7 linked regions of the Macaca mulatta genome follow. The protein of the gene in region 7 purifies or fractionates together with the protein of the main gene of each other region. This does not show direct contact. Links are inferred from orthologs where the notes say so. Each region holds a gene or a part of one and is shown on either strand. Other genes may lie near its edges. The genes, in order: ING1, CHD3, EZH1, SAP30, ARID4B, PHF12 and RBBP7.

Region 1 (4,313 bases), on a different chromosome or scaffold from region 7:
TCACGCCATTGCACTCCAGGTTGGAGACAGGGCGAGACTCTATCTCAAAAAAAAAAAAAGAAAGAAATTAAAACTCCGGCCAGGCGTGGTGGCTCACACCTGTAATCTCAGCACTTTGGAAGGCCGAGGTGAGTGGATCACCTGAGGTCGGGAGTTCGAGACCAGCCATGACCACCATGGAGAAACTGTGTTCTCTACTAAAAATACAAAATTAGCCGGGCGTAGCGGCAGGTGCCTGTAGTCCCAGCTACTCAGGAGGCTGAGGCAGGACAATCACTTGAACCTGGGAGGCGGAGGTTGCAGTGAGCGAAGATCGCGCTATTGCACTCCAGCCTGGAACAAGAGCGAAACTCCGTCTCAAAAAAATAAAAAACAAATGAAAACTCCACTGACCCTTTCAATATGTGGGCAGATCAATGTTAGATGCCAGTTTAAATCAGAGGTCAGCAAACTCTTTCTGCAGAGGGCCTGAAAATAGTTTTGGCTTGTCAACTCAAAAGGTCTCAGTTGCAACTAATGAACTCTGCCATTTTGCAAAAGCATCCACAGACAATACATACGCACATAAGCACAGCTCTGTTCCACCGAAACTTTATTTATGGACACTAGAATTTAAACTCCATATAATGTTCAAACAAGTGGTGGACTGGACTTGACAAGTGGGCAGTAATTTCCTGACCCAGGGTCTGAATACAGATTCTGTTTTGACACATATTTATTTGCTGGCAATTAGGTAACTTCATTATTAATAAGTGAGAACAATAATACAAAATTTACTTAAGGCTTCGTCTAAACTGCTGGTGTATAAATTTTTAAGACAAATTTTAAAAGTTACTTATGTCAAAATTAAATATACTACTAGAGGAACAAACTGGCCAAGTTTCATTTATTTCTTCACGTAACATTTTTACAGCTCACATACAGCAGGAAGCACACCTTTGCACATAATTGTGACATTAGCTTCACAACAGCATCTGCTGACTGCACTTCCAATCATAATATAGCAAGTGCAAGTTCACTTGGAAATGTACATTTATACACCTGATATAAATTAAAGATGGCTACACTATGATTCGTGATAGCAAAAGCATGACTTGAGGTTCCTTGACTAGACCGCTTGTTTAAGAGAAGTGTACCCAAGCATTTTAAAATGGCCATTTGGGGAACAGGCCAAAATATAAAATATCTATCATGTAAAATTTAACCATTTACCTTTTTAAAAAATAATCTTCAAACTTGAAACCTTTGTTACTGAATTGTTATATGGATATACATCATGGCAGCAAGAACCACATTTACTATAGGCTGTATTTTTGGCGACCGGCCAATTAAAAAAATTTGTTCATAAAGTAATATTACTTTTATTAAAAAAAAGCTAAATGAAGTATTTTCCTTCCACATTTAATGTGTTAGGTTGAGTTTAGTCCCCCTCCTCCCACAAGAAATCAGTCTGAGACTTAAGTGTTTAATCAAACCTATATTTGTAGTTTCTAAAATGCTGATCCACAGACCACTTTCTTGTTACACGTGTACCAATGAAAACAAAAGGCAAACAGAATCACTGCCATCCCTATGAAAGGAATGGTTCCTTTTCTAACATTCTTTAAAAATATACATTTTACACTCCCTGCACCTCAACAAAGGCGGCAATGTAATAAATACACGGTTTATTTTGTCCTCCTCACTACCAGGCGCCTGTCCACAAACTACCTGTTGTAAGCCCTCTCTTTTTTGGATTTCTCCAGGGCTTTGTCCATGGTCTTCTCGTTCTCCCCCCGGCACTTGGGACAGTACCACTTGCCCTTGGGTTTATGATTGAGCCCCACGCACGAGAAGTGGAACCACTCGATGGGACACTCGTCGTTGTCACAGCCGATCATCTCCCCGTAGGAGACCTGGTTGCACAGACAATACGTGGGTTCGTTGGGGTCGATGGGGAGGTCGGCAGGGGACGCCTCCCGCTCCGCCTTGGCCTTGGAGCGCTTCTTCTTCTTGGAGGTCTTGGCCTTCTTCTCCTTGGGTGTGCCCGAGGCGCTGTCCTCGTGGTCGTGGTTGCTGGACGCGTTCTCGCGGTTCTCGTTGTTGCGCTGCCTTCGCGAGCGCTTACTGTTGGGCTTCTCAGCCTGCGCTGCCGCCTCGCCTTTGGGCCTGTCCGCGCCAGCCTTGCCGCTGTTGCCCGCTGTGTCGCCCAGCTCCTGCTGCGCCTCGAACAGCTCCACGTGGCTGTCCACTTGCCGCGTGCGGTTCTCCACCAGCTCCACCATCTGGCTCACGATCTGGATCTTCTCATCGCCCAGCTCCTGGCTGCGGATCAGCGCGCGCTGTACACAGTGCAGCATCCGCCGCTTCTGCGCCCCGTCCGTCTCGCGGCTAAAGCGCTCGTAGTACTCGTCCAGCTCCTTCAAGATCTCTGGGGGCAAGAAGGACAGGCATCACTCGCGAGCAGGACATCGGGACAACCCACACGGCCCCGGACCCGGGTCTACGGAGAGGGCTGGCAGGGGGCCCAGGGGCCAGCGCACGGCTTGCCCAGCCCACCAGCCACAGGCCCTCCAGGGCCTCTCTGTTCCTGTGCCCTGGAACTAAATGCAAATGCCAGAAGAGCTCCCACAGGAAGAGGAGCCGCTCCAGCCATCCCAGAGAGAACCACAGAACAGTTCCTACGCACGGGTGACAATGCCCGAAGCCATTAAGAGGAAACATTTAAATGAAGTGCAGTGCTCGGGACCCAACCTGTATTAATACTTTCTATTAATGATTATGTCCTATACTGCCATCATTTTTACTCAAATGTTTCTATTTGAATGCAATTATTAATATACATATAACGTTATATATAAACATGGTATTTATTACATTATACACAATATACAAACGATAAAATATAAATTATTTGAATATTTCAAATAAAAAAGGTCTCTATTTTAACATACCAACATCTAGAATATCCTGTTAAATTAGAGAACGTGTATAAATTTATATAATAGCTCTCTATGATTTAAAGAACCGGGTTAACAGCAAAGGTCCAGGCTACTTTGTGTTAGGTCCTCAGTTTCAGTCCCCACATTTATTCTAGCATGTTATTCCTCTGTATTAGTGAAAGCAAGAACAGTTCTGCCACAATAATCCAGAAAAACCTAGCTTTGCTTTATTATTATTATGACTGTTGTTATTATTATTTTAGGGGCAAGGTCTGTCTCTGTCGCCCAGGCTGGAGTGCAGTGGTGCAATCTCGGCTCACTGCAGCCTCGACCTCCCAGGCTCAAGTGACCCTCCCACCTCAGCCTCCTGAGTAGCTAGGACTACAGGAGCACAACTGTAATGGGTCATTATTATTATTTTTTAACTGCAGTGAATGTACTAGCCTTGCTTTAAAACAAAGCTGGTAGATTTTACTTTTGCATCTACTGCTTAAACAAAAACATCTTCACATCTATTAAAGTCAATGGACTTTAAAATGCCATCAAAAAGAAAAGAAAACCTCTTCAGTATTTAAATATAAAACTTCTTGGGCATGTTAGAGGACAGTGCATATGATTTTAAAGTGTAATTAGGCAATTTCTCAAGAAACAAAAGCTGTTAAAAAAATCTAGTTGAGGCCGGGCGCGGTGGCTCAAGCCTGTAATCCCAGCACTTTGGGAGGCCGAGACGGGCGGATCACGAGGTCAGGAGATCGAGACCATCCTGGCTAACACAATGAAACCCCGTCTCCACTAAAAATACAAAAAAAATTAGCCGGGCGTGGTGGCGGCGCCTGTAGTCCCAGCTACTCGGGAGGCTGAGGCAGGAGAATGGCGGGAACCCGGGAGGCGGAGCTTGCAGTGAGCCAAGATCGCGCCACTGCACTCCAGCCTGGGCGACAGAGCGAGACTCCGTCTCAAAAAAAAAAAAAAAAAAAAAAAAAAAAAAAAAAAAAATCTAGTTGAAATAAGGGCAGTAAACAGTCTTGCCAAAAGGCTACTCACAAAGAAATTCCAGAGCTCTTTTTCCTCAAACAATAACCATTAAATTAAACAGTACCAGATTATTCTCCTAAAACCTTTTTGCAGTCTCTTTAAACAAGGCAACAATACTACTTTTTTTGTTGAGACGGAGTTTTGCTCTTGTTGCCCAGGCTGGAGTGCAATGGCGCGATCTCGGCTCACTGCAACCTTGGCCTCCCAGGTTCAAGCGATTCTCCTGCCTCAGCCTCCCGAGTAGCTGGGATTACAGGCATGCAACACCACGCCCAGTATTTTCAGTAGACAGGGTTTTCTCCATGTTGGTCAGGCTGGTCTCCCAACTCTCGACCTCGTGATCCGCCTGCCTCAGCT
Region 2 (3,977 bases), on a different chromosome or scaffold from region 7:
GTATGGCGGGGATGCGGCTCCACCGCCAGTGAAGAGGCCCCACTGTGTAGAGGGGACATGGAGGCTGGGGCAGGTCCCTCTATGGGGCATGGTTGTGAATGCTATCAGGTGTGGATGAGGGTTGGTTTGCACAAGTCCTAGAGGCTAAAATCCAAGGGGGTGCCAGGTCGGTAGGGGTGGGGTTAGAGGTCAGAGGGGGGTGGTTCAGAGGGTAGAGGGGTCAGGGGGTGGGAAGATTTTGAGGGGTGCGGGGTGAAGACTTACGCAGCGTTGTGGGCCCTCCCCCGCGCGGGGCCGCCGCGGCCCTTACCCTTGTGCAGGACGGCGTTGGCCGGCTTGTTCCCCGCCAGCGACTCCTTGGAGAGGTGCTGGTGGCTCTCGGCCAGGCACTCGGCCTCGGCGAAGCGGGCGTGGAGGGCCATGGCGGGGTGCGCCGGCTCCTGCGACAGGTTCAGGTAGGCCGCCCGCCGCAGCTGCTCCTCAATCACCAGCGCCTGCTCCAGGAGCTGAGGGCACAGGGTTGGGAGGTGAAGGCAGGGCTCTGCCAGCAGTGAGTGAGTGGCGGGTGGGGGGACTGGACATAGCAGGAGACCCACCCTGCCCTCACTGCTGGCCCAGAGCACTCCTAGCTCCAAACCAACTGCGAACCTAGCATCAACCCTGACCCAGACCACACTCCCAAGCACAAGGTTACACTTTGGTCTTGGCTCCAAGCATCACCTCAGCCCTGAAGGTGTTAACCTTCCCTAGGTTCCAACTAGATCTGGCCTCACTTCTGACCCAAGCCCGTCTAAAACCCGTTCCTGTCCTCCCTCATTCCCACCTTGAACCTCCGGGCCAGGAACTTATTTTTCATCTCCAGAAAGTTCCCCTTATTGGCTTCAGTTTTAAATGGCTCGTTGATAATGGCAAATTGAGCATCATTCTGGATGTCCTGCCACCGTGCATAGCCATGGCTACCAATGAAGGAAAGGGAACCATCAAGGAATTTAACAGGAATGGGCTTGGCTTTGAACACTTCTTCCTTTTGGCCTGACTCCCCAAAGTGTGGCAGTAGCCCTGTCCCTGGGTGTGAAATCATCATCCTTTTTTTTTTTTTTCCAGCTTGAGAGAACCTTTTCCTTCTTGCACGTGTGTCAAAGGATACAGGACAATCCCAGCCAGAAGCCAGTAGTCGTGTCTTCTGTGCCAGATCTCATTGAGTTTGCCTGAGGAAATAGCTGCCCGTTCCTCATTCTGCCACAGTGTGTGAAGCTCTGCAAAGGCGGCAGCAGACAGAAGAAGCAACAAGGGTTTGCAGACTGCACTCAGTCCAACAGACAGGTACAGATGGGGAAACTGAATAATGAAAGGGAACTAAGGGCTCCTGAAGAGGAATGGGTAAAGGTTAGGTTAGGAGTTCGGAACAAACTCCGTTACTAACCAGGTTCGAGTTAGAATTAAGAATAAAGGTGGGATTAGAGCCAGCTTTGGAGTTAAGAGGGATACTTAAGAAAGATTTAGAGCAAGGATCGGAGTCAGCATGCAACATACTTCATTGGAAGTTACTTGGAATTAAAGGTAGCAGGAAGCCTCAGGCAAAACGAGAAACCCCATGAGGATGAGCAGATCCCCTTGAGGAGCAGAAAGCAGCGAGAGTCTCCCCAACCTGTGAAGCCACCATCTGCGATATTGAACATGAACCGGGGCTTCTCTGTCTTTTCCTCTCGTCGCCCATTGGACCGTGGCTCATCTCGAGGCCCTGGTCGAAGCTCCCGGTCACCTTTTACATCTTCTGCTAGGACAGACAGGTGAAAGCTCACACCTCAGGACACCCTCCTCCCAGGTCCCAAGACTACTATCTGTACTGTGCTGTCCTGGCCTTTCAAACAGCTACCCGCCCAGGACCCAAGCATTTGGTTCCCCAGACTCCACCTCCCCTGATGCCCTCAGGGACCCAGGTGTCCGGTCCTTCCACCCATTACCTCTCTTGCCCAAATCCCCTGCTTCCCCCTCCGGCCTCTCCCTGTGTTCCTGTCCATCCATCGGCTTCTCCTCCCCCCTTTCTCCTGGCGTCGACTCTGTGGCTGTGGGAGGGGGTAGGGGATAGGAAGGGAGGATGTTACCCTCATCCTCTGACCCCAGAAGAGGGACATCCCAAATTCTAATCCCCCATCACTCCTAAGGCCATGCACCCACCTGACTTCTCTCTGTCCCCACGGTACCCAGGTTCAAGCTCCATCTCTCCAGGTACCCCTGGCACCTCATCCTCTAGAGGAATCTTCCTTGGCTCCAGCCGCTCCCCGAGTGATGGGGCTGGGCTGGGGGCATCAACCTGTAAGAGGACAATGGGGTCAGGATGAGCTGGAGGGCTCCCAGGCATCTGGCCTCCAAGCCCCCTCCCCTCCCACTCCACAGGGGAATCCAGGGAGCCACACACCTCTGTGTCCATCTTCTCCCCAATTCTGCTGTTCTTCTCTGGCTTCTCCTCCTGGTTTTCAGCTTCCTCCTTCTCAAGAGGAGTCCTTATGCCTTCTCCTTTCTCACTTGGAGCTGGAGTAGCTGCAGGGGAAGGCACAGTGATAAAGACAGAGGTTCTCTTGCCCCGACTCCTGGCTCCCTTTCTGTCTCTCCCACCATCCTGATTTCTGATTACCAGGTTTAGAGGTGCAGGGACTGTTGGTAGCAGAAGCCTCAGGAGTGGTGGGAGACGTTTTGGTAGGAGAGGAGGCTCTGGAGGAGCGCTTAGAGTCAGCGCTGGGGTCGGGCATCAGTTCCGGCATTGACCAACGCCCATTGATGTGCTCAAACTCCTGCACCTGGGGTGGGAAGGACAGGTGTCAGCTCCAGGCACTTACAGACATACAGACAGGAAACTCCAGTCTCCTCCGTCTCACACCAGCGCGAGCTTACAACTCAGGGACAGAGGCAGAGGAAGGACAGAGACTAGGCAGCCAGCTTGATTTTTTGGGTGAGAGGAAGACTGATACCTTCTTCTTGACGAGAGACATGACTCCAATGCGGGTCAACACCTGCTGGCGACTCAGTCCCTCCCGAGGGACCCCATCGGCAAAGGTTTCAGAGCCGTCTGCCCCAGGCTCACACAGATGGCGCATGAACAAAGATACATAGGCCCTAAGAAGCATGGGGTGGGAGGACGGTTAGGGAAGCCACAGAAGGGGTATAGGGCAGTGAGGAAGATGCAAGGATGACTGAGGACCCCCAAGTCCCCAAATCCCCAGATGCTCCAGGGCTCCTCCCCTGGGCCTCTCACTCTCACCATTACCAGCCCTCCAAGTCCTAACCGTGCCCCTGCGCCCCATCCCTGGCCTATCCCCTTGGCCTTGGTACTTAATTCCTGGGCCCCATCAGTCAGCTCTTCATCCTTTCCACCAGCTCCTCCTGCCAGGTGATTGTGGCCAAGTAAATGTGAGGCTAGGACAGCCCAGGAGAGGTTCCTTGCTTCAACACCTCTCCCCTGGGGAGAATGCCTGGCCCCTCTACTCTAGGCTCGGCTGAGGGGAGGTGGGGTGGGCTGAGACCACCCCCCAGGAAATCGAGCCAGGAAGCGTTGTATGGCAGGGAGGGTGACAATCAGTTGAGTAAGGTCACATCATATGGCGGCCCCAAGGAAGAATGGAACACCCAAAGCTCTTACCCTTGCGTCCAACTCAGCCCTGTATCACCCACACTCACTTAAACTCCTTCTCAGTCTTGCCCCTCAGGTCCCGCACCAGCCACTGCGTGGTGAAGGCATCCTGTGGTGGCATCCCCCAGCGCATCACGGCATTGAGGAAAGCCTTCCGCTGACGGGTATTGAAGCCCAGCACCTGAGGGTGGGGGCAAGGAGGCAATGGCGACAAATGTCCAGGGTTCTTAGGTCTTGTCCTTTCTACCCTCAGTGATCCAGGCCCCAATTTCCAACCTTCTGCCCTCATGCTCTCCTTGGAGAACTCACGAACACTGGGCCCAGCTCTCACCTCAATGTTGCCCCCGAC
Region 3 (3,977 bases), on a different chromosome or scaffold from region 7:
AGGTATAATAATAAGTGTCCCCTAGAGATTTCCCCAACAAACTTCTCCCTCCCGCTGAGGTGGAGAGTACCCCAGAGAGAAAATGAAATCAGTGCTTTTCACTGGTAAAATGTCACCATCAAAACAAGTATCATTTTGAGAACAGAATGCATCCGTTCTGTGCCATCCTTCTCCACCCACTGCCCAACCCAGCACAACCACTTCTCTGCTGCGGCTAAGATCACTATCTGCTATGGGTTAGGAGGTATTTCCTCCAGCAAAACCGCCTGGGCACCAAGTTCTGCAAGCTCTGGGGACTGCCATCAAACTGCTCAGCTTTGAGTTGGGAAGGGCATAGTGGGATAAGAAGTGAAAGATAAGTACCCGGATGTCTCTGCTGACATCCAGGCCCCGTCTTCTACCTGATATTAAAACTCCAGCTATTAAATGAAAATAGACATACACAGAATCACAAACAGAAAATATCTGAATTAAAAAAAAATTTAAACAGTATCCAGAAAAGGGAAACTGGGGCTGTAACTTAAAAAAAAAAAGAATCTCACATTTCTTTTCTTTTTGAGACAGAGTCTCGTCCTGTTGCCCAGGCTGGAGTGCAGTGGCACAATCTTGGCTCACTGTAGCCTCTGCCCCCTGGGTTCAAGCGATTCTTGTGCCTCAGCCTCCCAAGTAGCTGGGACTACAGGCATGCACCACCATGTCTGGCTAATTTTTGTATTTTTAGTAGAGATGGGGTTTTGCCATGTTGGCCAGGCTGGTCTTGACTCCTGACCTCAAGTGATCTGCCCGCCCAAAGTGCTGGGATTATAGGCAAGAGCCACCACGCCTGGCCTAATTTTTTTTATTTTTAGTAGAGATGGGGTTTTGCCATGTTGGCCAGGCTAGTGTTGAACTCCTGACCTCAGGTGATCTGCCCACCCAAAATGCTGGGATTACAGGCGTGAGTGGCTGTGCCTGCTGGCCCCCCTCATTTCTTAATTCTCCCCTAGAAGACAAAGTTGGGAAGGTATCTGATTTCTGCTTTTACAATCATGAACCTAAACGTTTTCCAGAAATGACTCTTGCAGATCTCATGCACTTATTTCATTTGTAGAATCCCTAAAACACAGCAAAGAGACTATCAGAAGGCTCATAAGTAGTAAAGGGCACAGGAATGGGGCAAGCCTAGGGCACACTGGTGCCGACTGTTTTGGTAGACTATAGGGAAGACGCAGCACACTTACAGTCTGGGTTGCACTGGCAGAACTTCTCACAGAAATTCTGAGTCATGATGCAGGGGCAGGTGCTGTCACAGGGGCGGTCTGGGTGGTCACAGGGTTGGTAGTTGTACACTTGTGTGGAAGAGTTATCTAGGAGAGAGAACAGAGGAAGACGCTGCTGTGACCGTACGCTCCAGCTATCTTCCCTCCCAAGTGTCCAGCTGCCCTGATTCAGAGGAGGCTGGTCCTAACAATCTTCTTGGACACACATTTAGCACCTGAAGTGAGAAGACAGGGATGACTGTTATTCATAACCTGCAATGGGGTGGTCTGCTTTGTGGGGAGGATGTGGAGATGCTACAGAGAAGTATCTAGAAGTGGTGTCAGCTTCTTCCTTTGACAGGTGATAGGGAAGCTATTCTAAACATTAAATGAGGTCTGGAACCTAGCAAATGGCACACTAGAAAAGTCACAGACTGGCCAGGCACAGTGGCTCATGCCTGTAATCCCAGCACTTTGCGAGGCCAAGGCAGGTGGATCATTTGAGGTCAGGAGTTTGAGACCAGCCGGGCCAACATGGTGAAACCCCATCTCTACTAAAAATACAAAAATTAGCCGGGAGTGGTGGTACATGCCTGTAATCCCAGCTACTCGGGAAGCTGAGGCAGGAGAATTGCTTGAACCTGGGAGGCGGAGGTTGCAGTGAGCCGAGATTGTGCCACTGCACTCCAGCCTGGGTGACACAGCAAGGCTCCATCTCAAAAAAAAAGAAAAATCACCGATCACAAGGCCCCTAATGCTACCTCCTAAGAGGTCTTCTCAGTTGCAGTGAGAGGCTGAGCTGTTCTCAGTTGCTGCAGAGAATTCTGCAATCTGCGGAAGTGGCACAGGGTCAACAAGTGCAGCTGTGGGGTAGGGTGATGACCATAGGGTGAAGCCTCCAACTGAACTGCTGAAGAATGCCCTGGTAGAACTTACCTTTCTTCAGCTGAATCTTCCTGCAGTGTGCAGCCCACAATCTGAAAAAGACAGGAAGAATAAGTCTCAGTCACGGCTCTAGGGAGCTCTGTAAATGCAGGTAAATGACAACGTGACTTGCTCTGAGGGACTGTGTTTGATGACTGGGGAGTATCTTCCCAAACCCCTCAACAAGACGACTTTGGTACACAGAAGCAAGAGTCCAGCCTAAATCCAGCTGGCCTGTGCTACAAGATTTAAACTTAAACACACCCCTCCCAAACGACCAAATAACATAAAAGAACACAACACAGAAACAAAAGAAAGCCCAAGCCTATCGGTCTATTATAAAGCTATTGTTTGTCTCCCCATCTCTCCCTTTGTCTTTGTGGAGGTGGAGATATGGGGGAGTTTCAAGATGGGGAGGTGGGAAGGCCTTTCAGGAATCTTCTCCCAAAGAACTGAAAGGGAGGAGTCACAGGGATTTCCTTCTGTATCTAGAAGTGGTGTCAGCTCCTTCCTCTGATAGGTGATAGTCATTAGGGAACAGAGCCAGGGTACACAATTTTTAAAAAAAAACTTCTAACCTAAGTAAAGGCTAGCTAGAAGACAGTGTTATTATGTAACTCAGAAAAACAACACGAACCAAACAAATAAATAAACTCTGGTCAGAGTTGAGAAATGGGTAAGGTGGTAACTAAACCAACAAGGAGAAATGGCTTCGGAGTGGAGCCATGAAGCCAGCTCATGTCCTATTGGCCAGGAGCTTAAACAGAAAAACAGCCAGTTATGTCATGGTCCACAGCACCTGGGGACAAGCAGAGGGCTGATCCAAGGCACAGACCCTTGGGGAGCACTCAGGAGGCTGGCTCTCAGTCATGTGATGCCAAGCTGATGGGCTTACACAGCCTGTGTGGTTGCTAAAGAGGGAGGCAGATGGGAACTCCAAGGGGAGGTCAGAGCACAGGGAACAGCCTGGCTGTAAAACAAAACACTTTGTCCAACCCTTGCCTGTGCTTTCTTTTCTTCTTCTGTGAGGGGTTCATGAGCTCATCTGTTGGCAGCTTCAGGATAAGTGATTCTTTGACTGCAAACTGAAAGACCTGGAAGAGAAATCCAACAGGGCCTGTCACTCCTCGAGCAAGGGGGTCAGGTAAGTGGCCCAACTGGGTGCTGGTCTTGGGAGGGTTCTGAGGAACCCTCAGAACAAGAGGCTGACTGAGCCTCTTGTCAGTCAGGGAGAGACAGAGTGCCATTGGGAGATTGGGTCACTGGCTCTGAAGTTCATTCCTAATTATTTATCCTGACTCAGGAAAGGAGAAATACTGAGCACAGTAACACACCCCTGGCCAGAAGCTGTCACCTACTCTTTCTACCAAGCCACGGGTAGAAGAGCGGGCTGATTGTGACCAATAGTATCTTCTTTTTAGGAAGGGTAACTCTGTGCCTTGTGTAACTGAGTGTAAGGCAGGACAGGACAGAACAGGAATGGTTTCAGTGGGCTAAATATTAGCTCCCTCTGTTGGTACAAATATGCCAGAGCTTTGGCCATTTCAATAGGATGCGTTTTTTCTCTTAAAGCACTGGTTTTTAGTTTTTCCTTTTCTTTGTTGGGGCTATTGGCCCTTTGGGGGGATCTTTGAAAACTGTAAATATTCTCAGGAAAATACAGACAAGAATATTTTTGCATACAAATCCATAGATGGTTACATTGAGAACCTGTGACTCAGGGAAATAGGTATGAGCTCCAAAATGAAAGCAAAGGGCACTTCAGCTTATGGTTCTTTTTTTTTTTTTTTTTTTTAGAGAGAGGGTCTCACACTC
Region 4 (4,521 bases), on a different chromosome or scaffold from region 7:
TAAGGGGCATAGCAGAGGTACTTTCTGTATTCATGCCACATAAATATCTTTTCCCAAAGACAAAATTTTCAAAAACAGCTATTTCATTTCATGTTCTTATTTCGACTTTCAGCATTGTGTTTATCTTCACTGGCACATTAAGTTGTCTTTGGAACGAGGTGGGTATATAAATTAAACCATTTGTTCTTCCTAGTACTTCATCAAGTAATAATAACAAAAAAAAAAAGGAAATAAAAAAGAAGTTGTATTCCAATAGAAGCTTATTTTTCAAATTTGCTAGCATTATAAAGCACTTAAAAAAAATAATGCTATTTAAAATATCTTCAATTCCAAGTCAGATTGTCCCAGAGAATGCAAATGTGCTACATTTGTTACTTCTCCTTACCCTGTTAATTTCTTGGAAGTTTACAAAAAAAAAAAAAAGGGGGTTATAAAATGAAGGACTTTACATTAAAATATCAATACTGATCTCTAAGTCAGTTTAAAAGAAAAATCAAGTTTCACAAAATAAATACACTGAAGCAACTATAATAGTAATAACCTTTATTTAAAATAGTTTTTAATTTAGGAAAGCTCATTTTACATGAGTTTCCAACTAATTATTAGAGTCAGAAACAAAGAAAATAAAATCAGAGAAAATCCTCTGTAGAAAAAATACACAAAGAACATTTCTACATGTGAAAAAACAGTAAACAGTGTTATCATCCAAGTTATTAGTCTCAATTCCACGTCTCCTAGTGAACACCACTATCAACCTTGACATCTGATTTGTTCTTGTCATTCTTCACTGAGTAGATGAAATATGTTAAGGTGTCTTTTTCATTCACTGGAATAGACCTAAAGTGGCAACCAACTATCTATAAAGAAAAAAAAAAAAATTAAGGAAATTAAATTTTAGATATAACAGGTTTCATAAACTAGGTAAAAAATACGGTTTCATCCAAAGAAAAAATCTATGTGATAAGAGCTATTTCCTTTAAAAATTATATTTAAGAAAATACCAACAGGACAAAAAGCATTTAAGAATAAAATGTTATGAACAAGAGATAATGTGATTTCAAAGGACCTTTTGGCTCACTCAATTTACTATACATTGATTAGAAAATACATTTTCCTTTTATTTATTTTAAATTTTATAATTGGGCCAGGAGTGGTGGCTCACACCTGTAATCCCAGCACTTTGGGAGGCGGAGGTAGGGGGATCACTTGAGCCCAGGAGTTCAAGACCAGCCTGCGCAACATGACAAAACCCCATCTCTACCAAAAAAAAATACAAAAATTAAGTAGGCGTGGTGGTGTACACCTGTAATCCTAGCTATTCAGAAGGCTGAGATGGGAGGATTGCTTGAACCCAGAAGGTGGAGGTTGCAGTGAGCTGAGATCACGCCACTGGACTCCAGCCTGGGTGACAGAGCAAGACTCTGTCTCAAAAAAGATAAATAAGATAAAAATAATAAATTTTATAATTGGAATCTAGAGTAGGGAATACATGTTTTTACTTTTAAACTTTAAATGAGATAAAACAGATGTAAGAGACCACATGCATCATTAAACCTGCAATGGTTTAGACCCTACTGATAGAAAAAGAAGTATGAAGTTGAAAACTTTTGGTAGTAATCAACAATAACATATAAATTATTTGCTGCAAATTACATTCATTCATTCGTATCTTGGTAGCATTCTTTGGTTAAGGTTCCTTGAAAATTTTTCTGAATAAAAATTGTGAATGGAAATGAGAGGAGAAAGAGGGATGTTCAATGAAGGATGTTTACCTGCTTCCTTGCCTTTTCATTGTGCTAATGTAATATGCATACTACAATTACGAATAGAAGATTAATAGACTTACCTGAGGTGCTGACAAGCATATTTAGATTCCAGAAAATAGAATTTCTTAAGAAAAAAGTTCATCCACACAACAATTACGAGACTTAAGACTTAGTCATACAACCCTGGAATCCCTTAAAACAGTGGTCCCCAACCTTTTTGGCACCAGAGATCGATTTCACGGAAGGCAATTTTTGCACAGATTGGGGGTGGGGGAGTTGGTTTTGGTATGAAATTGTTCCACCTCAGATCATCAGGCATTAGATTCTTATAACAAGCGTACAACCTAGATCCCTCACATGTGCACTTCACACGTGGTTTTGGACTCCTGTGAGAATCTAATGCTACGGCTGATCTGACAGGAGGCGGAGCTCAGGCAGTAATTCTTGCTAGCTGGTGCTCACCTCCTGCTCTGTGGACCTGTTCCTAACAGGCCATCAACCAGTACCAGTCCATGGCCCCGGGGTTGGGGACCCCTGTCTTAAAATATATGTACTACATCTGCACATTTCCACATTCCTTAACCTGTTAATAACTGCATTTCTGATTAAGTAAAATATAACACTCATGGCTATCTCTTATGTATAAAAAAGAAAATAGCTCTAGAAATAATATAACTGTTCTTAGAAGGTCAGTTTATCAAAAATTTCAGGTTTAATTTATACCTAAATGTAACATTTAAAATAATTAGTTCTTTGGTTCTCATTTGTTCCAAAACAGGGGTGCCTTCACTCCATTAGTACCTACTGAAATATTTCATCATGGTGGGCAAGATCTATATTTACGTTACATAATGTATTGTACAACCCCAAAAGAACTTGATCTTTTAAATCAAAATTAAAGAAAAATTAATTAGATCCGTGTTGCCTAACCAAGGATAAGAAATTTTAGCTAAATAGTTAATGTATTAGATTTTAACAATGTTAAAAAGCGTTCCATCAGATAAATGTAACTTCTATTCATATTTCATTTTATTCAATGAAATGTTGTACATTTTAGAAAATGTTGGGTAACTACTAAATCCATGCAAAGAATATGAGAAAACCGATTTATATATCTACACTTCTATTTTGTCTAGTAGGCTAAATTTTCTTTTTTAGAGATGGAGTGTTGCTATGTTGCCCATGGTGACTCAAACTCCTAGGATTAATCAATCCTCCTGAGTAGCTGCAAGCAAAAATTTTAAATATGATTAAAATATAAATATATCAATCTATAAGCATCTTAATAAGATGCACAGACTTCTTGGTTCTATTATATCCTGAGAACATATGCATACTCCATTAACTTTCACAACTCACTGACTAACTAGAAGTCCTCTGTCAAAGCAAACTACAAGTAAAAGATTGGGTAAAAGAAAAGCTTTTGCCTCTTCTAGATGTGAAGAAAACATAGATGTCTCTAATAAAACTAACATCAACAAGGACCAATTTTGAAATAGTTAAGTCAGCAAATTATAAAAATACTGTTTAGGGGCTGATTTGTAGGCCTACTCCACCACTTTAAAATATAAATTTTAATAAGGACATTAAAGCTTGCTAATTAAATTTATTATGCCTCAATTAGATGCTCAAACATTTACTGGTTAAATGGAGTTTTAAAACTAATAGATTTCTAAAGTGAGGATTAAAAAAAACTCTCATTCAACATTTTGAGGGCCAGGCACGGTGGCTCACACTGCTGATCCCAGCACTCTGGTAGGCTGAGGTGGGCGGATCACTTGAAGTCAGGAATTTGAGACAAGTCTGGCCAACATGGTGAAACCCCATCTCTACTAAAGATATTACACAAAAATCAGCCTGGTGTGGTGGTGCACACCTGAAGTCCCAGCTGCTTGGGAGGCTGAGGCTGGAGAATTGCTTGAACCTGGGAGGTAGAGGTTGCCATGAGCCGAGATCGTGCCACTGCACTCCAGCCTGGGTGACAGAGCGAGACTTTGTCTCAAAAAACAAACAACACATTTTGAAAGCCAGTATCAGAAGGTGCTGTACACAACCTGCTGAGTAGTCATTACAAAAAGGAATTTCCTAAGTGGCTGACAAACATTTCTAGACAACTAGATTCTTCCACAATAGATTTTTTAACATTGTTCTTTCTAAATAAAATGTACTGTTAAATGTACTGTTACATATACTACATTAATACTTTCATTAGCATTTAACAGCCTCTCGGTTGTGCATAGTTCAAATAGTTTAAAAATCATATATACCTCAACAAGCTGTGCTTTATTAAGTCCTGGTCTGGTTGGTAGCTTGAAGTGTCTTTTGTATCTCCTAAGTGTATTTACTTGTAATTGGTATAAATCAACCTAGAAAAAATTAACATGCATAAATTAGTTCATACAATTTGTGGAAAATTTATCATCGATATGTATAATAACAAACATTTTAACTTCAGCACAATAAAAATTTACTTCCAAAATCAAAAAAATTATTTAAAAAATTTACATAATCAAACCTATAAATTATTAAACAGTTTAATCTTTTGGGGATTAATAATATAAACTGAGGTCAAAAAAGAGTAAGTTATGTGACAACAGAGCCGCAAAAATTGTCAATTTAAAATGTAACAATTCAAACTGTGTAAATGCATGACAACTGGCTATATTTAATTTTGCTTTCATTTTCAGATTTCTCAAATGTTTTAAACACTTAAAAGATTGTTCATATCTTTTTATAAAGGTTTCAGAATGCACTA
Region 5 (3,977 bases), on a different chromosome or scaffold from region 7:
GCTAGCAAAGGTCAGGCAGTGGAGGTGGCAGGAGTCTCCTGGAAGAGCAGCAGGAGGTCAGTGTGGGGCACCTGAAAAAAAATTCTTTACATATTTTCTGCTTCTTACTTTGTCTACAAAAGAGATAAAATGTGCAGCCCTCAGAAGAAATACAGTATATATATTTTCTGTGGATTGATGAACGGAGTCGTTGCTAAAGTTGGAGCATACTTAGCAAAAAGTATTGTTTGTAGTTACTCTCAGGTCACATAATATAGGGTACCAAAGATAAATGTCGTAGACTGAGTTGTTGGAATTACAGTTCTAAAGGTATCTTGATTGTTACACTTCTATGCTGATTTTGCCTTGAAGAATTACTAAGCGATCAATTTCACTGTAATAAAAACACACAGTTGAAATATTTCACAATGTGTGATACATTTTATAGCAAGTGAAAATAACTGTGGAACACAAAGGTAACAAATATGTTGATGTTTATAGTATATTGGCTACTATTTCAAAAACAGATTACTTGATTTTTCATCAGCAATCAATACCACCGCTGAATAATACCAACTTGCTTAAAACTAGAATTTACCTAAGATTAGAAAACCTGTGGGGTTTTTTGCAGAAATTCTTTATTATTATTATTATACTTTAAGTTCTAGGGTACATGTGCACAACGTGTAGGTTTGTTACATAGGTATACATGTGCCATGTTGGTTTGCTGCACCCATCAACTCATCATTAACATTAGGTATTTCTCCTAATGCATGTTTTTTTTTTTCTTTTTAAAGCAAGTAGCCTTACAGAATCTGTGTGACTTTTTTTGAGTGTACAGACAAAATCAAAATAATGTACTATCCCATATCCTGAATACCATTTTCTTACTGGGGAGAAAATTATCAGCTATTATTTTTATATTTTAAAAATTAGATATTTCACACTTACTGCCTTTTCCCTTCTTTTTGTTGTTTACCACTGTTGCTTTATGGCTTCTTTTCTGCTTTTTTGATGAACTTCCTCCTCCCTGAGCATCTTTCACTCTTTTCTGACCTGTACAGGCTATGAAGTGAAAGGGATTAAGTAACACAAAATAAAATCCAACATTTCCTAGGTATAAATTAATTTCACATTTTAGAAGCATAGAACAATCCAAACTACATGTTCTTTATGACATTTATAAATTGTCACAGAAATTACAAGTTTTTAATAAACTGTCATTAATGGAGTCTGAATTCTTGTACATAATAAAAGTCAGGGTTTTAAAAAAGGGAAATAAAGTATGCACATCCTTCTTTAAAAAATCAGATCTAAATTGAAAATAGTCCTTAATATAGTACTGGGAGTTTATGAGCCTAGTAATTAAAAAACAAGCATATGCTGAAAATAAAAACTGAAATTTGTTAAGATTCAATAAAACCAAAATATAAAGACTTAATCACAGGTTAAAATGTTAATGACATTATGTCTTATATTAACATAATTTTTAAAATGATATAATGATATTAATGGGGTAAATTTTAGCAGTAACTCACACTTGGTTTTTTTTTAACCAATTTATTTCAAAAATAACTAAGCTCCCAGGACGCTGTCTGGTTAACACACATACCATTTACAAATTCAACATAGTAGTTCTAAAAAGTGTCTCATCTTCTTGGTGGGAAATTATTGCAAAACATTACAAATAAATGTCTCCCTTTTCTTCAAGGACTAGCCCAAGTCCTACATCTTCACTAAGATGTTCCAGGCTTCACTGATGAATCACTTCTCTCAACTGTAGCATTTTTCTATTCCTTAGCATCTGCTATACTTCTGTCTAATTCATATATGTTATCTCTCAGACTGTATAAAATAAGCTTTTTTTCTCCAGAGACTAATAAAGTACTATCTCCATTCAGTTCCAATGTCAGACACTAAATCAACCTTCTGTGTATAAAACCTAACTTCCTTGGTCAAAAACAGGACAAGTAATTAACTGTCTGCAACTTCCTTTTTTAAAAATAGGTCATATAATCTTACTTATAACTTTTCCTAATACCTTTTTAAATTTTTAATATTTATTTCTTTTTTATTTTTTACACCAAGTATGTGAACCCACCTAAAGTCATTTTAATATAACAATTTAAGTGAAACACAAAGGAGACGTAGATATTGACCATACTGAGGCACAGAGTCATAATTGTCAGGTTTCTCTCCAAAAGAGTTGAATTCTAAAGTGCTCAGATGCTAAGAAATAAAAACCTTCAATGTAGAGTAAATTAAGAGGAAAAAACTACATCTAAATAGCAAAACTTACGTTTTAACTTGTGATATAGTGGGGACTCTCCAATATTCATAGTAAGTAAATGTATTAAAATGTGGCCATGTGAAATAGGTGCTTAAGAATTTATTTCTGGTAGGGCGTGGTGGCTCATGCCTGTAATTCCAGCTCTTTGGGAGGCTGAGGTAGGTGGATTACCTGACGTCAGGAGTTCAAGACCAGCCTGGCCAACATGGTGAAACCCCATTTCTACTAAACGAAATACAAAAATTAGCTGGGCACTAATCCCAGATACTCAGCAGGCTGAGGCTGGAGAATCTCTTGAACCTGGGAGGCGGAGGTTGCAGTGAGCCAAGACTGCACCACTGCATTCCAGCCTGGGCAACAAGAGCAAAACTCTATCTCAAAAGAACAAAAAATAAAACAAAAAAACAATTATTTCTAAAAAGATATAAGTTACCCTAAATTTAGGAGTAGCTTTCAAATTCCATAATTACTAACCTAGTCAAGATTAAGATTCAAAACGGCAGCGTTGTTAGCCAGGATGGTCTCGACCTCCTGATCTTGTGATCCGCCCGTCTCCACCTCCCAAAGTGCTGGGATTACAGGCTTGAGCCACCGCGCCCAGCTGTCTCTTTTTCGTTAATTTTAATCTTTTGTAAGATATTAGGAACATATAATGAGGATACAACCTCTCAAAAACTGTAACAATAGTTTGGGCCTGGTGGCTCACACCTATAATCCTAGCACTTCGGGAGGCTGAGGCAGGCGGATGATGAGGTCAGGAGATCAAGACCATCCTGGCTAACATGGTGAAACCCCATCTCTACTAAAAATACAAAAAATTAGCTGGGCATGGTGGCACATGCCTGTAGTCCCAGCTACTCAGGAGGCTGAGGCAGGGGAATTGCTTGAACCCAGGAGGCGGAGGTTGCAGAGAGCCCAGATCACACCACTGCACTCCAGCCTGGGCGACAGAGCAAGACTCCATCTCAAAAAAAAAAAAAAAAAAAAAAAAAACCCAAAAAACCTGTAACAGTAAAACCTGTTTTTTTCTTTCCTTTTTTTTTTTGAGATAGGGTCTTGTTTTATCACCTAGGCTGGAGTGCAGTGGCGTGATCTTGGCTCACTGCAGCCTTCCCAGGATCAAGTGATTCTCCCACCTCAGCCCCCAAGGTAGCTGGGACTACAGGCATGTGCCACCACAGCTCGCTAATGTTTGTATGTTTGGTAGAGATGGGGTTTTGCCATGTTGTCCAGGCTGGTCTTGAACTCCTGGACTCAAGCTATCCACCACCTTGACCTCCCAAATTGCTGGGATTACAGGCGTGGTGACCACACCTGGTCAGTAAAATTTTATTGTTGAAAGCCTGTCTAATATTCTGAAATAAAGGATTCTTTCATTTTGAAAATTAGTCATGTTTGGATAGTTCAGTTCCATGAGATAGTATGGCACAGATAAAATCATAGTAGTTACACTTATAAATGTGAAAAAAGCAAAGAACATTTCAATTTAATTGCAAGTATATTTTTAATTTATTTTAAAACAGAGATGTTTTAAGTCAAGATTCCTTAGAAAACACAGAATTAACTAATTTGATCTAGACCATATCTCTTTTAAGCTCTGCTAAAAACCTAAAGCTAGCATTCTAAAATCTTTTATGGTATATAAAAAACATACCCTAGTGCTCTGCTCTGTCTTTACAATGGAAAAGTGTGTTCCAAAGCCAGGTGT
Region 6 (4,553 bases), on a different chromosome or scaffold from region 7:
ATTTTACAAGCTGGGATGGGGTGCCCTTCTGGGCAAAAGTATCTTGGGAATGGTAATGGGAGCTTCCTACAGAACTTCTGACCACAGACTTAATTTGCTCAGTATCAGTCATCTGTCTAGTAAGTGTTCCCAAACCTGCAATTAGTACAAATATATAGTAGACACAACTCCGCAAACCGAGCGATGGAACGTGAATGGAACCGTTAAGAGACCTTCGGTGAAATTTCACATAAAAAAAAAAACAAAACAAAAACAAAAACAGAGGGCTAAAAAAGGCAACATCAAAAAACTGGTGGGAACACAGAAACAGCCCCCTCTTCCTTTCTCCCGACTGGCTCCTCTCTCAAACCTCTGCCTCAGTCAACTGTTGCAGAACAACAGAACGAGACCCAGTAGAACAAGACGAAATCTGGGTTTGCTGCCGCAGATGTGGGATTTTTGTGGAGGGCAGAGGTGATTTCTGCCGGCAGAAGATGGAGTTTAAACTCTTCTTTGCCGGATTGTTCTGGGCTGAGCCGCTGAGGAGGATCACGCAGCGGGCGATCAACCCACGTCCCTCCCTCTCGGTTCGGTTTCTCCCCTCCCCTCGTGTCCAGTAAGGGGGAAAAAAGCGTACGGCTTTCCAGCTCTCAGTTCCTTAAAAATGCCTTTCCAATGCCACCGCACACAATCCTCCCCCTGGCAGCAAAGAATTTTGCAGCGAAGGGCTCGCCGATCCGGAGCGGAGAAATAAAATCGGCGCCCAAGGGCAATTTTAATTGTCTAACCCGGCCCGATTTCCTAAGAGGCAGTGGCGCCGGGAGGGAGGAGGGAAGAGGGAGGAGGAAGGAAGGCAGCTCTGAGAGGCAACAGAGGGCAAGCGGAGGTAGAGAAAGGGGACCAAAGCGGCGAGATCCCAGCCTGGGCCCCTGAGGAGCTTCTGCAGAAAGGACTCGGGGGCTGTCCCCACCGTTCCCCGGGAGACGTTTGCAAATCATATATGCAGCCAAAATGGCGCTGAGAATAAAAATATAATTTAAAGGCAGGTCGCCATATTGTAAACAGAGAGGCAAGGAAGAGGCGGACTCGAGAGACACCCTCCATGATTTCTTCTACAGCCACAAGCGCCCGGTTGCCGGGGTCTGGACCACTGCAATTCAGGTGGCCGAGGGCTCTACGCACCCACCCCAAGGAGAGCCCGGCCGGGCAGGAGCCCCGAGGGCAGCGGGCGCGCGGGCAGGCAAGCGGCGCTGGGCCCGGAGCTCCTCCCCTTCCTCCCCCGCCACTGCCGGCTGTCCCCGGCCGGCTCTGTCCCGGCTCCCCAGCGACTTCCAATCCCATATGGGGTTCTCTTCACTCCTCCCAACCCCCACCTCGGGGTCCGGACCCACCGCTGCTCCTCCCCCCTAAACTGCCAGAACCCGGCGGACACCTGGGGGCGGGGAGGTGCTCGCCCGGGCAGCTGCAGAAAGTCAGCTAGCGGCTGCAAGCGCCCGTTATTTCGGCAGGCAGGGGCAGGCCGGGTGAAGGAATGCGCAGAGAAGGGTCCCCGGACCTTACCAGCACTGGAGGTGGAAGGCAGCCGGGCAGTGGTCGCAGCACAGGAGATCTCCACCTTCCTTGCAGCTATCACAGCTGTCGTGGTTGGTGGCCCTGCCGCTTCTCCGGGGCTCCTTCTCAGGCTTCCGACTCCGCTTTTCTGCCTCGTCCGTCTTGGGGGGGGCCAGCAGAGCTTGGATTTGCTGCACACACATACAAACGGCGTGTGTGCACACTCGGAGCTCCCGGGCGGTCCGTCGCCCCCCCGGCGCGGCTTCTCCGTCACCCACCCCTCTCCCCCCTTTTGTCCTTCTTCCTCCCATCCAGGCTGCTCCCAGAACCTCTCAGCCCCCGGAACCAGGGGGAGCCCACCCTAACCGCGTTCCTGCAGCACAAGAACGAGAACAGCTTCTTCCAAATGGGGAGGATCAAGGGTAGGGGGATGGGAAGAGGGTGCGCGGTTCCCTTCTTGGCCACTTCCTTGTATGGACAGTGGGGGACTCCAAAGCCTGGCTCTGGAGAGGCCCGAAGCCCGGTACCCGGACGTGCTGGGGGAAGCACAAAGGGGCCAACAAGAAGGGGGTGGGGAGGCCTGCCGGTGCAACGAGATGGAGTGGGCTGGCGCCTGGGGAGAGCGAATCGAGGGCGGCGGGTAGGTGAAACTGCTGCAAACGTCCTCGGAGGCTGAGCTCAGCCCCCTAAATTGCAAAGAGGGGAGGGAGAGGCTAAGTGAGGAAGAATCCCCCTCCCTCGGTTCTCTGGGCGCTTCGAGTTTAGGACCGGCTTTGTGGGGCGGAGGGCGGAGGTTCCCTCCCGGCGCTGGGGGAAGGGGATGAGGAGGGCCACTCTTACCTCCATCAGCCCCCCTGATGTGTCCAAGTCGTACACGATCGTCTTGGTCTCCATTTTCTCCCACATTCATCCACCTCCCGGGCTGGGTGCTCTCTGCTCCGGCCCCCCCAACCCCGGGGGGAGGGGGGAGGTGGGGGTAGGGGGCGCTCCTGACCCCGGTCCCGCTTCTTTTTTCCCAACACGGGTCCCGACTTCCTCGCCCTGGCTCCCCCCCACCCCCCGGCCCCCAGTCCCCGGGACGACAGCGTCCTCCCGACGGGCCGCGAGGGGGGAGCAGCCCCTCAGTCCCGGCCCGGCTGCTGGCTGCACAGTGGGTCCTGGCTCCAGGGGTCAGGCCTCGGCAGGGCCTAGTCCCACAGGCTAAAGCCGGCACTGGCGACCGCCGGTCCGGCCGGGAAGGCTGGCGGGCGCTGCCATCCCGGGGCTGGGGGTATCGGACGGGGGGGGGTAAGAGGTTAGGTGAGGTTGTGGTACGTGAGGTGACTGGGGGGAGGGTGATGGGGGGTGGTCCCCGGGCTCCGCCTCTCGCCGCCGCCGCCGTCTGCGTCCCGGCTGCCGCGCACTTGGCGCAAACTTACCGCGAGCGCCCGCAAAGCCACCCGCGCAGGCGCCCCGGGATCGGCGCTCGCCGCGCGCAACCGCAGTGACAGCCGGCGGCCTGGCTCCCGCGCAGCCGCGGTGAGGGAGTACCCCCCAGCGCGCAGCCGCGCTGGCATTCGTCTGGAGGACCGAAGCCCCACCTTTCTGCCGTGCGCCAGCGCACTGAGACAAAAGGGCGGGACCTGAGGGCTCGCGCAGGCGCTTGGGAAAGCTTGTAGGGGTCAAGGCGCAGCCGCAGGAAGCCAGGGACTCTTCATCCATTGGTGTTTGTGTGCAAACTAAGAAGACTCCGTCCTGCGCAGGCGTGTTGGGAGTGCTCCCCTCCCACTCCGTAACACAGAAGCCTCCCGCGCAGGCGTATTGTCTTCCGCAGGCCCTCACAAGAAGGCTGCTACTTTCGCCATTTTGGTAATGGGATATGGGCTATCATGCCCTTGGAGTCCTCAGGCATGAACAGAAAGGAACAAGGTGTGGTGTTGGATGGAGCTGGTCGCCTGTCGGTGACAGCAGTGTTCCTAGGGATGTTGTACTGGACTGTTCGGTTCTAGCATCAGGTGTGGCTGGACCAGGCCACCATATTGGTAAAGAGAAAAGCCATTTGCGACAGAAAATGACGCTTTTGGTGGCGTGTTGGATGACTGTGGTTCCTAATTCTCTCCCGTCCTGACAGTTAATTTTATCAGTTAATTGTATCCTGAGCATCCCTGCCTTGCGTGGTGGTGGCACTGTGGAGAGTTCCGCCTGCCCGTTACCACCCTCTCTTCACCACTGTCCCTGAGATCTGCTCTTCAAGAGGAAGCCTAAAGCGGAGAGTTTGTAATCCTGACAACGCCCAGCTACCTGCGTACCCCGGACTCCAACTCCCAGATTGCAATGCCAAAGGGTCTAAAGGGCGAACGGGGGGGGGGGGCGGTCCATTGCACCCTGGGAGCAAGAATCGCGATAGGGCTGATGGATTGTGGGAGCTGTAGTTCCATGTGCGTGCGATGCACTCTATGGTAGGATAGACCCAGGGAAGAGTCATTTGCCGGCCAGGAAGGGATACTTTTGAGAGCGTCAGTGCTGCATGCCGGGATTTGTAGTCTGAGGGCCCGCCTCACGTTCTGGGCGGGGATTCATGCTCCTTTTCAGGGCGCCAGCTCCTCCCCTTGGTATCGCCGTCAGAGATGGGCGGTTATTGCTGCCTGAGGGTGGATGAAGCAGTGGAGAAGAGAACTGCATCGTTGTGCTTGACACTAAGGGTTTAGTTGGAGTTGTTGCTTCGTAACTGTGCTCGGCCCACTTTTTAAAATTTTTATTATTTATTTATTTTTTTTTGAGACGGAGTCTCACTCTGTCGCCCAGGCTGGAGTGCAGTGGCCGGATCTCAGCTCACTGCAAGCTCCGCCTCCCGGGTTCACGCCATTCTCCTGCCTCAGCCTCCCGAGTAGCTGGGACTACAGGCGCCCACCACCTCGCCCGGCTAGTTTTTTGTATTTTTTAGTAGAGACGGGGTTTCACCGTGTTAGCCAGGATGGTCTCGATCTCCTGACCTCGTGATCCGCCCGTCTCGGCCTCCCAAAGTGCTGGGATTACAGGCTTGA
Region 7 (4,616 bases):
TGTCCATCACTTAGTTCTTCTCTACTCTTCCCACATCTGTACATTTACATTTAGATTTTTGGGAAGCCCAGTGGAAATTCCTATCTGTATGGAAATCAATGTTTGCATATGGAGAACCTAGCCATTGTAAGAGCAGTTTTATATACAATTAGATTATTATTGTAATTATTATTTTTATTTTTAAGAGATAGAGTCTTGCTCTCGCTCAGGCCGGAGTGCAGTAGTGCGGTCTTGGCTCACTGCAACCTCCGCCTCCCAGGTTCAAGCAATTCTTCTGCCTCAGCCTCCCTGTAGCTGAGACTACAGGCACACGCTGCCACGCCCGGCTAATTTTTTTTTTTTTTTGTATTTTAGTAGAGACAGGGTTTCACCGTGTTGCCTGGGCTGGTTTCGAACTCCTGAGCTCAGGCAATCCACCTGCCTCGGCCTCCCAAAGTGCTAGGATTACAGGCGTGAGCCACCGCGCCCAGCCAAAATTAGCTTATTATTTTTATAACTTGTTGCAAAATCCTCTTTTTAGGTTAGAGTTTCATTTAATCCTCTTTAAATTATATGCCCACAACACTCAAATTTAAGATGCTTTTTTGTTGTTTCTTTGGAAGACAGGGTCTCTCTCTGTTGGCTAAGCTGGAATGCAGTGGCGCAATCATGGCTCACTGCAGCCTTGAACTCCTGAGCTCAAGCTAACCTTCCAAAGCGCTAGGATTACAGGAGTATAAGCCACTGTGCCTGGCCCCATATTTAATACACTTTAAAAGTACATGGTCAAGTTCCTACTAGAAAAGGTTCAAGTGAATGAGAAAGGCAGACTAACGCAGGGACCAGCTGTGTGATCTTGGGATGGCACTTAAACGCTCACTCCCAGTTCCCCTATCAGTAAAACAAGGATAATGAAAATTACCTACAGCATAGTACTACTGTGAGGATTACAACAAGACGTAGATTCTTCAGCTGTGCCAGGCCCTGTTGAGTGCTCAATAAATGCCAGCAATTATTACCAGAGAAACTGTAGATCTAACAGAAAAGAATACTCTTATGAAGACTAACGGCAATCTCAAAGTGTATTCCATAAGCCAATAACATCTTTTCTTTAGTCAATTGTTGACAAGGTCTTTTTGCCTTTACCAATTAAAATGTATTTATCTTGGGTGACTGTTACGTGTGTTCACTTTGCAAAAATTTATGAAGCCATACAACACTTATGATGTGTGAACTTTTCTGTAAATATTCTCTTTTTCAATAAAGTTTTAAAGAAACGCATTAGTTTGGGCCCAGAGAGATGCTGCTCTACATTCGAGCCCAGGAACTGTCAAATACATTCAGTGTTTCCTCCAAATACCATTAATCTCACAACGGATTCTTTCTCCCCTTTTACCACCACACTATACGCCAGAAATCATCCCATAAATCACGTTAAGTTTTGAAAATAAAAACCACCTGCCACCCCATGCAAGGGCTGATTACATACTTATGTTCTAGGTATAAAACGCCAAAACTAGGAAATTCAGAACGACAGTTAAATTTAAGCAAAAAAAAAAAAAAAAAAGTTGCCAGAAACCCTTACTTAGTCACTTCAGGAAGCCACTGAACGGTAAGACTGGGCCACTGAAGAGCATGGGTCATAACCAGGTCATACAGAAACGGTGTATTCTTCTTCCAGATTTTATATTCTTCATTGATGACACGCTCCTCCACAGTATCTTCAAACACTGAAATTTGGAGAAAGCCCACACAATTAAGTGGCTGAGATGGATCGAAGTCAGAAATTGGAGGTCACCTCAAGATGGCCACACCTCATGTACTCTTTCCTTTTACCTCTAATTTGGACACGGACAACTAACTGCTCTTCCAGAAGGTGAAGAAAATACTACCAACCACGAAGCCTCTTTTTTTCCGTTGAGATCAATACCCTCTGCGTATACCATGTTGGGTAGTCAATTACACGGACATGGAAATTGTTTACCCTGTTACAGCTGTTCGCACCTGTTCTAAGATGACGACCTGTACGTACAGGGGCTGCGCGACCCACTCGGGAAGATAACTGCACGTGTACCAGAAGCCCACAGGCCTGGTCCCTCCAATCCCCATCAGGGGAGGCCCCAGCTCCCACGACACCCGCCTCGGCAGCCATAGGCCTGAGGGCTCCAGCAACCCCCGGACAAGGGCCGCGACCCCGAGGCGGTCAACGCGCGCGCGTAGAAGGAGCCGCGGCGTTCGCTTCCCGGCGGCGGCGGCCGCCTCCGCCCCGGGGCCGAGGGCGCCGGAGGGAGCGCAGCCTCTGGAGGAGGGAAGAGAAGAGAGGGGCCCAGCCCTCGGCCCCGCGCCCGGCTCCGGAAGTGCTCGGAGCCCTCGGCACGGCGGTCCCGTCCCGCGCAGGCCCCTCGAGGCGCGCGCCCAGCCTCGCGCCCGGCCCCGCCCCCTGCTCCGCACGCCAATTCGCGCCTTTCGCCGGCGCGTGCCGCGGCCTCGCGCGCCCGCCGCCCCCCGCGGCCCCGGCGCGCGCCGCCCCGCAGGGCCTCTTACTCTCTTTACTCGCCATCTTGCGTCGGGTCGTTCGCCCCTCGCCGCCGCCTCGGACTCCCCTCGTTAGCCAAGAGCAGCCCGACCACTGGCGCTCCTGCCTTTCCCAAACGCGTCACACACTCCCCGCGGTCGAAAGCCCGGGCCCAGTCTTGCTGCCTGGGTGCTCCCCAGACGCCGCGTCCTTGTTTCCTGCCTCCTCCCCGCTCGCGGGTACCGAGGTCTGAGGCGCTCTTCTCTCTCTCTCCAAACTTGGAACGAGACTTTTCAACCCGCGCCTCCCAGCCCGCCCAGGCAGCTAAGCGCAGGCGCATCCGCCCTGGGAAAAGTGAGAGGAGGCGGAGAGGCGGGTCTGGGAGCCAACGGCTCCAGCGCCGCGACCAATGACGCGCGGCGGGCGGGTTTCACGCGGCGTTCGGAGGCGGGCTTCTGGGGGTGGGCGGAGCGTGCCGCGGCAGGAAGTTGGCGATGCGCAGGCGCGAGGGCTCGCCCGGTGCTCCCAGGGCCGGCCGCGGGGGCGGATGGGGGCCGCGGGGGCGGGGCGGATGAGGGCCCGAGGGGGCGGGGCGGATGGGGGCGCGCGAGGGTGGGGTGGATGGAGGCGCGGCTGGCCGGCTGAGCGGGGGCCGCGAGCCCCGGGGCGGCTAGCCTTGGGGCCCGCGGGGCGTGGTTGCTGGTAGCGGCAGCGGTGGTGGGGGTGAGAGGGGGGCAGGGAGGCTGCTGCCGCTTAGCCAAGCAAAATCTCAGAGCAAGAGGGGAAAATGGTTCCTGTTCTCGAGAGATTACTGTGCCTTCAAAGTCTCCCTGATAATCACGGACATGCAATTCTCTGCACCCCTGAAATGTTCTCCTCCAGCCGACTGGCCTTTCCTGGGGCCCGGTCGGGCCGAGGTGGGGCTGGTCTCAGAGGGAAGAGAGCTTCTGGAGAGGCCGCGGGCGTTTTTTGCCTGCAAAAGCCGCCGGGCCGCCTTGTTAGGCTAAATGTGCAGCCTGTAGCGGCACAGGCCGCCGGCGGGCCGAAACCGATTTACATTGTTACATTTTAATTTGTTCGATGTTTGGGTCCTTAAGATGATGGTTTGAGGCCTCTTCGTGCTTCAGGGGATTTTGTTCCAGCACTGGCATTCCTTTCGCATCCCAGCCCCGGCCCCTGCTGAGTCATTTTTGTCACCTGCAGGGGTCCCAGGGCGACCCCACCCCAAGCTGGCGGAGCTGGAGAGAGCAGGGCTGAACTGCCCTGGGCCTGCTTACCTGAGCCATGCTCTGCTCGGGAACTTCATAGCCCCTGGGGAGTGTATCGGGGGAGGAGAAAACTGGCTGCAAGGCCAAAAGGGGAATAAAAGAAAATGAGGGCCAGGAGCAGAGGGGACGGAGTTGGGGGAGGCGACCAAGGTGCCTGCGTGCAAAGGGAACCGAAGTGTACGTCCAGCTCCGAGAGAGGCTCCTCTTGCAAAAGCACCCCCGGAACATTTGCTGCCTTGATACCTTTCCAAGTGCCTTCATGCTCAGATGCTATCTTGCAGATGCCGCTGTCATGCCCACTTTTCTGACCGGGACGCAAACCCAGACGTTAGTCAGTGGCAGAACCAGTCACACATTCCCTTCTGTAGATATTTACTGTCTTGTTTCCGATACAATACAGTTCATTATTATAACGCCCTCCCCCTATGCCGGGTCAAAGAATCTTGTTAGTGCCTAAGGCTGAGGGGGTGGCTGGAGAGGGAAAAGAGTTGGAAGGGTGTTTAAGCAATACAGCCCTCATATTCTAGGACGCTGGTTGGCAAGACTTTTTCTAACAGGACCGAGATAGTAAATATTTTAGGCTTCGGGGGCAACTGCTCGACTCTGTCGCGTTGTAGCGCAAAGCAGCCGTGGAAAATGTGGATACATTTGGCCGTGTTCCAATAAAACTACAGACACTGAAATCGTTTTCAGGGTCACAAAATCTTTTTTTCAACCGCTTGAAAACGGAAAAACCATTCTCAGCTCGAGGGCCATACAAAAACGTGGTGGGTTAGATTTAGTCGGAGGACTGTAGTTTGCCCACCTTGTTCTAGAATAATTGTACCTTATGGCTCTGCTTCAAAGAGAACCTC

The links.
Region 1: the proteins of RBBP7 (region 7) and ING1 purify together in Homo sapiens (affinity purification with mass spectrometry; 5 studies listed by BioGRID and IntAct, counting the BioPlex papers as one, with this or other methods). This does not show direct contact. The link is inferred for Macaca mulatta from reciprocal best matches to the Homo sapiens genes RBBP7 and ING1.
Region 2: the proteins of RBBP7 (region 7) and CHD3 purify together in Homo sapiens (affinity purification with mass spectrometry; 6 studies listed by BioGRID and IntAct, counting the BioPlex papers as one, with this or other methods). This does not show direct contact. The link is inferred for Macaca mulatta from reciprocal best matches to the Homo sapiens genes RBBP7 and CHD3.
Region 3: the proteins of RBBP7 (region 7) and EZH1 purify together in Homo sapiens (affinity purification with mass spectrometry; 4 studies listed by BioGRID and IntAct, with this or other methods). This does not show direct contact. The link is inferred for Macaca mulatta from reciprocal best matches to the Homo sapiens genes RBBP7 and EZH1.
Region 4: the proteins of RBBP7 (region 7) and SAP30 purify together in Homo sapiens (affinity purification with mass spectrometry; 10 studies listed by BioGRID and IntAct, counting the BioPlex papers as one, with this or other methods). This does not show direct contact. The link is inferred for Macaca mulatta from reciprocal best matches to the Homo sapiens genes RBBP7 and SAP30.
Region 5: the proteins of RBBP7 (region 7) and ARID4B purify together in Homo sapiens (affinity purification with mass spectrometry; 3 studies listed by BioGRID and IntAct, counting the BioPlex papers as one, with this or other methods). This does not show direct contact. The link is inferred for Macaca mulatta from reciprocal best matches to the Homo sapiens genes RBBP7 and ARID4B.
Region 6: the proteins of RBBP7 (region 7) and PHF12 purify together in Homo sapiens (affinity purification with mass spectrometry; 5 studies listed by BioGRID and IntAct, counting the BioPlex papers as one, with this or other methods). This does not show direct contact. The link is inferred for Macaca mulatta from reciprocal best matches to the Homo sapiens genes RBBP7 and PHF12.

The regions. Positions count from the first base shown.
Region 1 is NC_133422.1:105,129,627-105,133,939, reverse strand, and holds the end of ING1 (inhibitor of growth protein 1), read right to left. Parts: intron 2,411-4,313; coding exon 1,707-2,410; 3' UTR 576-1,706; downstream 1-575. UniProt on the Homo sapiens protein: Cooperates with p53/TP53 in the negative regulatory pathway of cell growth by modulating p53-dependent transcriptional activation. Implicated as a tumor suppressor gene.
Region 2 is NC_133421.1:9,412,926-9,416,902, reverse strand, and holds part of CHD3 (chromodomain-helicase-DNA-binding protein 3), read right to left. Parts: coding exon 3,960-3,977; intron 3,810-3,959; coding exon 3,676-3,809; intron 3,544-3,675; exon of another isoform or gene 3,405-3,543; intron 3,115-3,404; coding exon 2,970-3,114; intron 2,799-2,969; coding exon 2,636-2,798; intron 2,542-2,635; coding exon 2,420-2,541; intron 2,315-2,419; coding exon 2,179-2,314; intron 2,067-2,178; coding exon 1,965-2,066; intron 1,778-1,964; coding exon of another isoform or gene 1,775-1,777; coding exon 1,649-1,774; intron 1,257-1,648; coding exon 1,148-1,256; intron 957-1,147; coding exon 824-956; intron 507-823; coding exon 311-506; coding exon of another isoform or gene 265-310; intron 1-264.
Region 3 is NC_133421.1:67,059,729-67,063,705, forward strand, and holds part of EZH1 (histone-lysine N-methyltransferase EZH1), read right to left. Parts: intron 3,257-3,977; coding exon 3,165-3,256; coding exon of another isoform or gene 3,159-3,164; intron 2,216-3,158; coding exon 2,175-2,215; intron 1,347-2,174; coding exon 1,221-1,346; intron 1-1,220.
Region 4 is NC_133410.1:181,805,405-181,809,925, reverse strand, and holds the end of SAP30 (histone deacetylase complex subunit SAP30), read right to left. Parts: intron 4,133-4,521; coding exon 4,034-4,132; intron 858-4,033; coding exon 735-857; 3' UTR 543-734; downstream 1-542. UniProt on the Homo sapiens protein: Involved in the functional recruitment of the Sin3-histone deacetylase complex (HDAC) to a specific subset of N-CoR corepressor complexes. Capable of transcription repression by N-CoR.
Region 5 is NC_133406.1:13,890,638-13,894,614, reverse strand, and holds part of ARID4B (AT-rich interactive domain-containing protein 4B), read right to left. Parts: intron 1,045-3,977; coding exon 931-1,044; intron 72-930; exon of another isoform or gene 1-71. UniProt on the Homo sapiens protein: Acts as a transcriptional repressor. May function in the assembly and/or enzymatic activity of the Sin3A corepressor complex or in mediating interactions between the complex and other regulatory complexes.
Region 6 is NC_133421.1:37,672,659-37,677,211, forward strand, and holds the start of PHF12 (PHD finger protein 12), read right to left. Parts: upstream 3,160-4,553; 5' UTR 3,087-3,159; coding exon 2,949-3,086; intron 2,946-2,948; exon of another isoform or gene 2,437-2,945; coding exon of another isoform or gene 2,371-2,436; intron 2,171-2,370; exon of another isoform or gene 2,011-2,170; intron 1,722-2,010; coding exon 1,540-1,721; exon of another isoform or gene 1,486-1,539; intron 284-1,485; exon of another isoform or gene 283-283; coding exon of another isoform or gene 230-282; intron 1-229.
Region 7 is NC_133426.1:16,538,269-16,542,884, forward strand, and holds the start of RBBP7 (histone-binding protein RBBP7), read right to left. Parts: upstream 2,885-4,616; 5' UTR 2,540-2,884; coding exon 2,524-2,539; intron 2,471-2,523; exon of another isoform or gene 2,132-2,470; coding exon of another isoform or gene 1,984-2,131; intron 1,710-1,983; coding exon 1,565-1,709; intron 1-1,564. UniProt on the Homo sapiens protein: Core histone-binding subunit that may target chromatin remodeling factors, histone acetyltransferases and histone deacetylases to their histone substrates in a manner that is regulated by nucleosomal DNA.